Linked DNA regions of Caenorhabditis elegans. The protein of the gene in region 2 interacts with the protein of the main gene of each other region in a pairwise test. Each region holds a gene or a part of one and is shown on either strand. Other genes may lie near its edges.

Region 1 (5,367 bases), on a different chromosome or scaffold from region 2:
TCACAGAGCTGCGAAAACCGTTTACTATTTTAACTGTTGGCCTGGCAACTTCGGACGGCGTGTTTTCAACGCTGTACTTGTTTTACGCAACTCCGATGGTCTTTTTGTAAGTTTTTCAGAAATTCGAAATTAGAAGTTGGAGTTAAAAAGGGCTCTACTGTAGGAGTTAAAGGGTGAGGAAGTCCCAAGAACTTTTACGCGCCGAGACCCATCTTAATAAATCCGCGCGCCTTTGAGAATTCTTCAGTCCAAACTAATTTCCAAAAACAATTCAGCGTAAACGAATATCTCGCATATTGGTCACATTTATGTGGATATATCCTTATGATCTGCTATAAAGCTTCAACATACTTTCATTTTATCATATCACTAAATAGATTTCTATCCGTATTCACACCAATATTTTACAATCAAATGTTCAATATAAAATTCACCAAATACATTGTCATGGGAATATATTTATTATCCTTTGGCCTAATAACTCTGTTCTTCCAAATTTGTAAGTTCACTAAATCGTACATCGTATTATAAGCAAAAATATTCTTTCAGTAGGATGCCAAAATTATTATAATGCTAAATATCTAGCATTTCAATATTCCGGTGGAAAAATTTGCCGTTGGTATGGGACATATGGAGATTTTTATCAAGTTTTCACACTAACAATCACTAGTGCATTTTTGAATTTTTCTGCCATTTGGAAGGTGGCAAAATTGAGGACGAAGTCGGTTAAAAATTCGATTGAGCTGAACTGGCTGAAGCAGGTATTGTTATTACGGAAATGCAAAAAAATGGGTCTCGTTAGGTATTTAGCGGCGAAACCTGTAAATTCGAACGTTTTTCCGTCATTTTTATTGATTTTTGAATCGAAATTGATAATTTTTTTAAAAAACTGTTCATCTTGTTCAATTTCGACGTAAAAATATTTGAAATAACAAAAAAAGATATTTAATTGAAAACGTTTGAATTCACGGTTTTGCCGCCAAATACCTAACGAGACCCAGCTGTTGGGGGCGGAGCATTTTCAATTGCCCGTGGAGCGCGTTTCCACGTTGATTTCAAATGGAGCGTTTTTCTGCGGCCCCATAATAAACTATCATCGCAAATTGCATAAAAATGAAACTTTCAGTCCTTGAGCCAAACTTTGTTTGTACTAATAATTGTTTGCTGTTTCACATGGGGACCTCGACTGCTGCCTGACAAAAAATTCACATTCATATTTTCTTCAATTCTATGGGCAGCAGTTCATTGCTTCGATGGGTGAGAAATTCAATGAAGATTGTGAAAATTTCAAATTTCAGAATAATAACCCTCGTTTTCAACTCTGAAATTTGGCGTAAAATCTTTTCTACAGGCTCCGCAGTTATCGTTGTCAGCACTGTAAGGACAAAAACCGCTTGTAAAGTTGCGCCGATCAAGTTCAAGTCTCCACATTAGTCATTAATCTGAAATCACACCATCAATAAACAATTTGCCGGAAAAATAATTTATTTTGGCGTAGCTCGAAATGTGTTTAAAAATTGGTAGAAATTTTGCAATATGTTCAGATTTTTAAAAGCAAAAAACAAAATCAGGCCAAAATTGCGTATGTGTATTTGTGAGAGATGACAGGAGTTAAATGGAATACAGAAGAGAATTGCAATACGTATACAAAATATATCAAAAGAGGCATAGGTGTCAATCGTTTGAAAGTTTTGGTGGGTGAACAGTTGAGAGGGGATTCAGAATCCAATACGGGAATAAATTAGGATTAGTTATGGGTATGAGAGCATTGGGACTGGAGCATATGTGTGGGAATCCACAACCTTGAGGGTATCCGGGAGCATTGGGATCGAGGCGACATGGAAGAATACTCTGGAAAAAAATATTAAAAATCGATATTTCTTTGCAAAAACTCACTCATGAGAATACTTCTGGCGAACGGATGTGAGTTGAGCCCACTTGTCCTTCGAAAAATGAAGAATGTGGTTCATGTGCTCCACCAGTGGCATCACCTCCTCTCCAGTGAATCCAGAATACTTCTCGAGCACTGGATTCCACTCGTACTCATTATTCTTGTCGAGCATACGCATGGCCAAGACGAAAGCGGCGGCGGCAAGACGGGATTGTGAGACCATAGCGTATTCGTAGACCATCAGTGATGTCTCCAGAATGAAGCGTCCCATGGTGAGTGTCTTCATATCGACACGACAGACACGACCGAAGCGGCGAAGATACCGATAGCTCAGTGGTGAGCCGAGATCATATCCGACGGTGGCGAAGAGTTCACGCTCCATGGCAAGAAGCTCATCGCGGGAGAAGCGATCTCCGGAAAGGTAGATGAGATCATCGACGAGTGGTGGAGATCGCTCATCGTACTTGGCGGCAATGAAGATGGCGACACATGCAAGCTTCTGAAAATTTATTGATAAAAATAATAGACTACTTTGGATTTTATCTCACCTGAATGGTGTTTTTGTCAACATTCTTCGTCTTGCACAAGTACATATCCGTGAGCTTAACGGCGTTGTAAAGGGTCTCGTGGTTGAGCTCAAATGTCTCCTGAATCTCAACCATCCAGTCAATGAGGATAGCACGAGTCTTGACGTCAACCTCCGGATGTTTGTGAAGGTACTTTCTCACTCGAAAGTGAACTTCTCGGTGTCTGTAGTAGTCAAAAATCCCTTGAGCATAGTCCGAGATACTGTCCGGGTTTCCGGCCTCCTCGAGGTCGTAATCGTAATGAGGACACGGATCAACATATCTGGACTTTTGCGGTGGAAGGTTCTCGACGTCTCGTCTACTCGTTCTCGACTTTCCCAGTGGATCTCGCTTTGCCGAGTCGATTTTAAATCCAGAGATGTGTGCGCGGAGCTCGGTGAGACCCTGAAACAATTAATTTGAGAAGGCCCAAAAAATCGATAATCCTCGTTCTACCTTGCTGTGTTGCTTCTTGGCTGCCGGTTCCGATGGATTCTTTAGAGCATCCAATTGCTCAGCCTGCTTTCGTTTTTGTTGATGCCGAGAATCTGCTGTAAATTAAAATTTAAAATCTATAAATAGTTTTCGAGGAAATCCGCTCACCTTGTGAAGTCAGGTCGACATTCTTGGCCTGGCTTCGCAGCATCATTTTGAATGCTGAAAATACTGAAATAAATTACATTGAAAGTGGGGAAAATGGAGACAAAATATTAAACGGAAACTGCGAAGCGATGAAACCAAAAAAATGATGATTTTTGGGAGCAGAGAGCAAATGGCAAACGATGGTGAACACTGGAAATTGCCGCCCTCTTGGTGGGTCTCGCGGGGTGTATTTGAAATTGCCCCCCGTTCGGTGGAGCGCACATGCCTCGGAGTACGGTCGGCGATATTTCTCACTGTCGACAAAAATGCTTAAAAGTTCAGAAAAAAGTGATTGAAAAATTTGAAAGTGAACTGGGTTTGATAGAAAATGTGCTTATTGATAAGAAAATAACATTCAAGTGTTTTGTATAAACTCCAAAAATGTGATTTGCTGTCCTCAGAAATATTGATTAAAAGAAAATCAGATATTTTAGGGGTTTTAAAGAATGAAAAATAGAACAATTGTTTTCAGAAAATAAAATACTTACAATTGTTCTTTTAGAGAATAGGTTAACAATTGAAAATAAGCTAAATGTACTCAAAAGTGATTCAATAATGGAAAAAATGATAAAATTGCAGAAATCGCATTCAAATCTGCCGCTTGTTCGGCAGAGCGCACTTGCATTTCTCATTTTTATTCGCATTTTTTCTTGTAATTTTACTTTTGTTCTCGCTAAAATAGAGTTATTTCCCAATTTAACCTTAATCTGCGCTTAATTTCTCGAAGAAATAATTATTTTCGACTTATTTCATCAATTTTTCAGGTAAAATGGACTGCTACGTGGGAGCAACCACTGGCGCTCTGAAAGGAGCAATTTTGAAGGAGAATACCTTCCAAAATCTCAATGAAATCAAGTCCCTTGACCCGAAAAGCGATGAGATTACCTCGATGATCTGGAATGACGAGCAACAGGTTAGTTATGGTCGATAAATTATTTTAAAAGTTGAATTTCAGACTGAAATCCTGATCGCTCGAGTAAATCGGGATCTGCAGCTACTTGGCATTGAAGAAAACGAACTTGTATCGATATTAACAGTTACCGGAGGCACTGGACCAATCAAAGGCCTGCATAAAGCAGAGTAATCATACAAAAACCGTGGTTTCAAATCTCAAAATTAAATATTTCAGTGAAAAAATCGTCACTTGCGTTGAAAGCGGCGAACTGCAAATCTGGAATGACAAATCTGAAATCTTGTCCGAGTGGAAGACCGGTCCAGGAGTTGCCGTCATGCGGGGATCCACCGAGAAGCCAGAAATCGTCACGGGCGGTATGAAGAATCTTCTGAAAACGTGGAATTTGGAGACCGGCCAGCAGACGTGGAGCGCTAAGAATGTGCCGCCCGATATGCTCGGATTGGAAATTCCTATCATGATTACAGATGCAAGATTTATTCCAGGACAGAACACGATTCTCGAGGCCACAAAGCTTCACGAGGTGCTTTTCTACTAAAATTAATAATTTTAAAAACGATTTTTCTTTTCAGATGCGCCTCTACGATCCACGCGCTCAACGCCGACCCGTCAAGAAGATCCCATTTATGGAAAATCCGATAATGTGTACCTCGCTCACATACAAAACCAATCAAATACTCGCCGCAAATTCCATCGGAGAAATGGGACTTTTCGATTTGCGCAGTAAAGTTCATCCGATGTGCAAGTTCAAGGGACAAGCCGGATCTATCCGGAGCATCACAGCTCATCCAACACTGCCGCTGGCTGCTTCCGTTGGAATTGATCGATTTTTGAGAGTACACGATTTGCAATCGAGGAAGCTGATTCATAAGGTTCGAGAAATGACAATTTTCGGCTGAAAAAGAAGATTTTCGCGAACTTCATCACGTTTTACGTGGAGTTTTGATTTCAATTAAGCAATCAATCCGTGAATTTTGCACAAATCAAAAAAAAGAAGATAACGAAACAATTAAAATTGAAACTTTATTGAAAAATCTACAAAAAACAGTGAAAATCAGAGAAAAACCCGTGCTGCAAAATTGCGAAATCATGCTCTGTCTCTATTTCTGTGCGGCACTGTTTTTTTTCGTGAAAATTTACAAAAAAAATCTCTGAAAACCAAGAAACCCTCAATTTTTTCAGATTTACTGCAAAACGCGCCTGAATCGTGTCCTACTCCGTGATAATTTATCAATTTTGAACGACAAAAAGCCTGCATCGAAAAAGGAGATTAATGAGGATGAAACGGAATACGGAAATATGACCAAAGATGGATATCGATCTGAAAATGAGGATGACGAAGATGATGATGACGT
Region 2 (6,764 bases):
TATACTTTAATATATTCCCGCAAGCCGATTCTCTGCTGAACCTCTGCATGCAAGCAGTTATAAATCTATCGGCTTTGGTGATGTGCCCGGCGATTCTATATTCTGTGGATTCTTTTCGGAATCATACGTTTTTATGCAAAAAATTGAAGAAAAAACGAGAAAATACATCTATAACACCACATGTTAGTACGGTGAAAAATTTGGAGCTGATGAAGGAAACGGAAATTCATTTTAATCAGTTAACGAATACATGGATTTAATTATTGATTTATTGATTTTTTTTAATATAAAGAAAATTATTTGAAGTGCTGTAGTTGCTTTGTTAATTTTTCAAACTTCGGACAACCCCGGTTTATCGATTTTTTCTGAAAATTTGAATTTACATAAGTTTGATCGATTTTCTTTATACATCGGCTTTTCACGAAATTTTGAAATTACAGATTTTTCACGCCCCGCAAACGCGAATGGCACGTGGTGTCGGTGTGCCGATTTGATCTACGAGAATTGCGGGTATTTAGAGACCGATTTCTCAGCCGACGTCACATCTGTCTGGTGGGTAAAAATCCCGCATTTTTTGTAGACCAAAAAAGGCAACCAACCTCTGCCTGCGCTCATTGCATAATGGCACACGCGCACCCCTTAAGTGTCGGTACACAGCTCCCCACTACCTCTGCCGCCTCGTCCATTCAGTATCGCTTCTTCGGCTTATTAGCTAAGATCAAAGTGTAGTATCTGTTCTTATCGTATTAACCTACGGTATACACTCGAATGAGTGTAATAAAGGTTATATGATTTTTGGAACCTAGGGAAGACTCGGGGCTTGCTCCGACTTCCCAAGAGTCGTCCTGGCGTTGCACTGCTGCCGGGCTCGGCCCAGTCCCCCGAGGGGACAAAATAAACGAATCGCAAGTTGATCTGAAATGTCAAAGAAATTTTAGCAAAAAAGGGAAGTGTTCAAAAACGACTCCTGATTTTGGAATAAAAATTTCAAAAAAAAAAAAACACACACTTTTATTTGTAAAATTTTAAGTTCCAATTTTTGATGAAATATGGCTCATTCTTCTCCATTCACTAAAAACTAATAGAAAAACAAATGATTATCACTGAAATTTTTTAACATTTTCGATCAACTAGAATACGGTAACCGCATCACCCCGAAACCAATAAAAATATTTTACAGGTGTTCGCAAATATGATCGTAAAATACATATAGAGGGAGGAATTTTCGTGGAAAATTTTGCGATTTTTCTAAATCACCGGGAAATTTCGATTTTCTGTTCCATTGCTTCAAAGCTTCAAATAATCGTTTTGCAATTTGTCAACTGTAAAAATAAAGTAATTGTTCTCGGTGGCCGAACTTTTCCGTTTGGCGGCCACGATACTTGTTCTGTGACGTGGCGCTAACCTTGTTTTTAAGTACTTCTTTATTATTTGTTTATTTGCCCACACGGCTTGAAAAGCAGGATGTTTTCTACATTTTTCATTTTGAAATGATGATGTTTTTGTCAAATTATTATTTACAACTGTTTTGGCATTTTAAGCGGCTCAATTTTGAATTTGTTAAATAGTTTTTTTTTCAAGCCTTCAATCATAACATTTTTAAATTGCATATTCGATTTTGAAATTTTCAAAAAATTTACCGCAAAAAAATGCAAAAAATACACGGAAATTTGAAAATACCGGTTTTAAGCCATTTTTGGTTTCTTTCTGGAATTTTGCACGAAAAAATAGGCGCGGAAATTCAATTATAATTAAGCTATTCAGGTTTTTTTTTTCTCGAACGATACTGTAGGGTTACTGTAGGAGGGCAGTAGGAATACTGTACGGTATTGTAGGGTTATGAAGGGTTAGTATAGAATTATTGTAGAGTACTGTATGATTAATGTAAAACTACTGTAGTAGTACATTAGGGTGACTACTGAAGGATTACTGTATAATTACTGTAGGACTACTCGTGAATTACTGTGGGGTTACTAAAGAAGTGCTGTAGAAGTATTGTAAGCGTAATGTATGAGTATTTTAGGGGTATTATAGGGGAACTGTAGGGTACTGTAGGATTACCAAAAAGTTCTAGAAATTTTGCCAATTTCTTGCCAAGTTCCTAGAGGAACTGAAATTCTTTTGAAAAAAAAATTTGAAGGCGCAGATCACTAGAAAGAAACCTTTCAGACAAGGAACAAGTTTTTAAAATGTTGAAAAAAAAAGTTGCCTATAAAGCTTGTGACAAAATAAAACAATAAATTGTGGAAAAATACGGAAAAAAAGGATGATAGGATAAAAATTGTCTCTTTTTTAAATTTTCTAGATTAAAAAACCGGCAAGTTCAACGTACACATCAGTATCAAAGTCATAAAATGTGTTTAATTTTCATCAACTCTAGTAATACACTCCAAAAGCCCCACCGTCTTAAACACCGAAACACGACAATGTCAATTCATGACGAAACAGGCAAAAACCTATAAAACTCGATAGGCCTATATGTGCCAGGCCTTATCGAAAAAGGCCTCTCCCGACCTCTCCGCCCTAGTTTCTTATCAATTTTGCTGTGCTCTTTTCTAGTTGAAATCAACTCATTCAACAGATTTTTAGGTCGAACAAAATATGTCTTTGGAGTTGCTCAAATGGATTATGCTCGGAGTTATGGCCTTGATGACTATAATTTTTGGCCTATTACCGATAAAGGTAAGATTTTTGAATATTGGGTATTTTTTGAATTTTTACGCAAATAAAATGCCTGAACGCCTTGATTATGCCTACCTGCCTGCCTACCTGCCTATCTGCCTACCTGCTTACGCCTACCTACCTACTAATTCCATTTAAAAGATTACTTTGTAGACACAAGGCAAACGTATGTTAAAGCAGGCAGGCAGGCAAGTAGGATCATTCTCCAAAAGGGGATTAGGCTTAGGCTGAGGCTTAGGCTTAGGCAGAGGCTTAGACTTAGGCTGAGGCTTAGGCTTAGGCTGAGGCTTAAGCCTAGGCTTAGGCTAAGATTTAGGATTAGGCTTTTAGGCTTAGACTTAGGCTTCGGCTTACGCTTATTTAGGCTTAGGCTTAAGCTTGGCGTCAGTGGCGAGCGTTAGCGCGTTACTGACGCTATTTAGGCTTATTAGGCTGAGGCTTACTATTAGGCCAAGGCTCAGGCTAAATACAGCAATTCAAGATAAAATTGTTCAATTTTTTTTCAGGTAATTTCCTACCTGAACACGACGAAAAGTGCAATTCACCAACACTCTTCCCTTATTCTCTCACTATTTTCCTGTTTTGCCGGAGGAGTTTTCCTGTCTGTATGCTTTTTGGATATGCTACCGGATTGCTTGTAAGTTTGGAAAAAATTGGAAAAAATTGTGAATAATTTTCAAAAATTGGAAGAAAAACGGCGGAAAGAAATTAATAATTCTGAAAAAAATCGCTCCAAAAATTCTTTGAAATTTTTTTTAATTTGGTGGCCTAGTTTTTTCCCAAAAAAATTTTTTCTTGCAATTTCAAACGGAAATATAATTTTAAAAAATCTTAAATCACAAAAAATGCCATCTGGTCGTGGAAATAAAATTAAATTTTTATGAAAAAAAACCCAAAGAACCCTGAAAAACTGCTAAAAAAATTTCTAAATCGGTGGACGAGTTTTCTTTTTTCGCGGCCACCAAGCAAACATGTATGTATGCAAGAACGTCTACTAAGCATTTCAGAGAAGCCTGGGAATCCGTACAAACCGACACAAACTACACCAGTGACTACCCATTCGTCCAACTAATCGCCCTACTCGGCTTCTTCTTCGTCTACCTCACCGAAGAGTTATCCAGTGTGATCTGTAATGTAGGCCATGGGCATTCACATTCAAATGATCCAATTATGGAGTCCAATGTGACATTTCCACGTGCGAGACTAGCTACTGTAGGCAGTATTTTCAATGTGGAGGGGAATTTAGTGGAGCCGTGCAAGAGAAGTCTAGAGGTGGGTTCAGTGAACTTTTTTTTTGGTTGGACTAAAAGCTTTTCGTTGAAGTGAACTGGAAACTGATAACTTAGTGGTGATAAGAATATGACAGACTATGTGCAAATGTACAAAATGTATAGTATTTTTAACTTTGATCTACAAGGGTTTCAAAAAAGAAATCTGGAGACGTGTCTATATTTCAAACGGTCATAACTTTTTAGAGGCTTGAAAAGTAAAAAAGTTGTCAACTAACAAAATATAGAAAATTTAAAACTTCATATTTTGTTAGTTAACAAAATTTTGATAATAGTTGGCCTAGCGGAGTTATGAGCATTTTAAGTAAGCATACATTTTCAGAACTACGACGACGACGGTGAGGGTCCGGTACGCCAATCAATCATCTTCACCTCGGCCTTCATCCTTCACGTCTTCTTCGAATGCTTTGCGTTTGGAATTCAAGAGGATGCAGTTTCAGTCACGTCGATCTTCCTGGGAATCGCCATGCATAAGGCGATCGTCATGTTTTCTCTTGGGATGAAGCTCACGAGAACTCATCCGCGACGCAGTTGGATTGTCGTAATTCTTATTTTGGTTTTAGCACTGTTTAACGTGATCGGCGGAACAGCTGGAATTCTGATCTCCAGCTCGAATATGAATCAGACGCCGAAGGATATCACGACGGCGGTTTTGATGAGCTTCTCCCTCGGCACTTTTCTCTATATCTCCTTTTTTGAGGTGAGTTTAAGACACTATTGTGGCAGTGCGAGGTTACTGTAGAATTACTGTAGGGGTACTGTATTATGGTAAGGCGGCCATGTGGGGTTAATGTATTGGTTAATTTAGGGGTATTGTACTATAGTAGGGCGGCAGTACTAGGTTTACTCTAGGATTACTGTAGGAACACTATACTAATGTAGGGTGACAGTCCTAGGTTTACTGTAGGATTACTGTAGGGTGGTAGTATTAAGATTTCTGTATGATCAATACACTACTGTAGGGTGACAGCTCTAGAGTTACTGTAGGATTACTGTATGAACACTTTGTTACTGTAGGGTGACAGTTCTAGGTTTGCTGTGGGATTACTGTAGGAACTCTTTAGTACTGTAGGATGGCAGTACCAGGACTACTGTAGGAACAATATATTACTGTAGGTTTACTGTAGGATTACTGTAGGAACACTACTACTGTAGGGTGACAGCTCTAGGTTTGCTGGAGGATTACTGTAGGAGCTTTTTTCTACTATAAGGTAGTAGTATTACGATTACTGTAGGAACACTATACTACTATAGGGTGACAGTTCTAGGTTTATTGTAGGATTACTGTAGGATTACTGTAAAGCCACTTTACCTACAATTAACCCCATTCATATATCTTTTTTCTTCCAGATCCTTGCCCCAGAACGTGCCAACAACCACTCCAACATCCTTCAGTGGATCGCCAGTTTTGGAGGATTCGCCCTTCTCGCTGTCAACATGATTTGGGCTACCTAATCTTTTTTTTTTTTGTTTCACAATTTCTTAACACCTTGCATATTATACGTCATATCTGACATACCGGTAGATTTGAAAACAACATTTAAAGAAAAAATAAACTTATTATTTTTTTTTTTTGTCTTGAAATTTTTTTTTGAATACAAAACCAGAAATGTTTGAACCACAGTAAGAGAAAATGAAAAGAATCAATGAAAAATACCCGCTGTTGATGCGTCGTGGTCGTGAAAAACCTTGGCCACAATTATGCCCCCTAAAATCAATCGATACACATTACTGCCAGCCCGGTGATCCGGATCTTTGACTGCTGATGCTTGTCGGCGAGAGTTGATCTCGTGGTGATAGGCAGGCGGCAGGCGACACTGGCCTACTTATCAGTGCCGGCGGTGATGGAGATATCGTCAGCGAGTTCCGGTCGGCCATTAGGCGATAGAGAGCGTTCAGTGTTCGGTTACTAGACTCCACTTTTCGGTCGAGGCTTGACATCTGAAAAAATGAGAGGGTTTTAGTGAGGGGTACGGTAGTTTGGGGGTACTGTAGGGGTCCTATAAATTTAGAGGTACGGTAGGAGGGGGGTACTGTAGTAGTACGATATACTTGGAGGTATAGGGGTTGGGAATGTAGGGGGGGGGGGGGGGAGGGGTACTGTAGGGACACTGTAAAAGTGATGATATCACAGGTACGCTAGGGGTACTGTAGGGTTACTGTAGCCTTACTGTAGGATCCCTTCACTGCTGTAGGGTAGCAGTATTACGCTAGGGGTACTGTAGGGGTCCTATGAATATAGAGGTACGGTAGAGTTACTGTAGGGGAACTGTAGGATTACTGAAGGGTCCTTTTTCTACTGTAGGGTAGCAGTACTAGGCTTACTCTAGGATTACTGTAGGAACACTGCGCTACTGTAGGATAGGTTATATAAAATCAGAGGTGCGGTAGGGTTACTGTAGGGTTACTGTAGGGATACTTTCTAGATACGATGAAATTGACGGTACAGTTTGGACCAAAAATAGTTCAAAACATTTCTTATCTCACAGTTTAAGAACTTTAATTGTTTTTTTTTTTCATTTTCTTCCAAATTCCGCAACATTTCTGACCAAAAGGTGTGAAATTCAGAAAAAAAAATTCTCGTTTTCTTATCAATTTGATCTCTTATCATTTCGCCATTTCATTGACAAACCTGTAATTCGAGACGCGACAGTCTGGAACCAATTGTCACAGGATGTCCCTTCCGCGACCCTTTCCCGTCGTACTGACCCGGTTTTCCGAGGGTTTGGTCGAGTCTGGAAGATGCAGATTGCAAAGCGGCCGACGTTTTCCGGGTTCTGCGCGTGGAACCCG

Evidence for each region. The genes of interacting proteins can lie anywhere in the genome.
Region 1: the proteins of zipt-2.3 (region 2) and cyb-3 interact in a two-hybrid assay, tested with the Caenorhabditis elegans proteins (one large-scale study listed by BioGRID).

Annotation. Positions count from the first base shown.
Region 1 is NC_003283.11:15,393,452-15,398,818, reverse strand, and holds cyb-3 (G2/mitotic-specific cyclin-B3), read right to left. Parts: upstream 3,124-5,367; 5' UTR 3,107-3,123; coding exon 3,061-3,106; intron 3,009-3,060; coding exon 2,914-3,008; intron 2,863-2,913; coding exon 2,440-2,862; intron 2,391-2,439; coding exon 1,897-2,390; intron 1,852-1,896; coding exon 1,752-1,851; 3' UTR 1,471-1,751; downstream 1-1,470. Other genes in the region: fbxa-199 (G-protein coupled receptors family 1 profile domain-containing protein), read left to right, coding at 1-106, 276-499, 550-761, 1,127-1,257, 1,299-1,434; T06E6.1 (WD repeat-containing protein 74), read left to right, coding at 3,869-4,012, 4,055-4,179, 4,229-4,535, 4,585-4,884, 5,195-5,367. UniProt on the Caenorhabditis elegans protein: Could be involved at the G2/M (mitosis) transition. Interacts with the CDK1 and CDK2 protein kinases. G2/M cyclins accumulate steadily during G2 and are abruptly destroyed at mitosis. Plays a role during oocyte meiosis II.
Region 2 is NC_003280.10:13,711,681-13,718,444, reverse strand, and holds zipt-2.3 (Zinc transporter ZIP3), read left to right. Parts: upstream 1-2,565; 5' UTR 2,566-2,601; coding exon 2,602-2,682; intron 2,683-3,188; coding exon 3,189-3,319; intron 3,320-3,689; coding exon 3,690-3,954; intron 3,955-4,182; exon of another isoform or gene 4,183-4,243; intron 4,244-4,293; coding exon 4,294-4,671; intron 4,672-5,321; coding exon 5,322-5,426; 3' UTR 5,427-5,539; downstream 5,540-6,764. Other genes in the region: sre-46 (Serpentine Receptor, class E (Epsilon)), read left to right, coding at 1-260; kqt-3 (Potassium voltage-gated channel subfamily KQT member 1), read right to left, coding at 5,700-5,912, 6,604-6,706.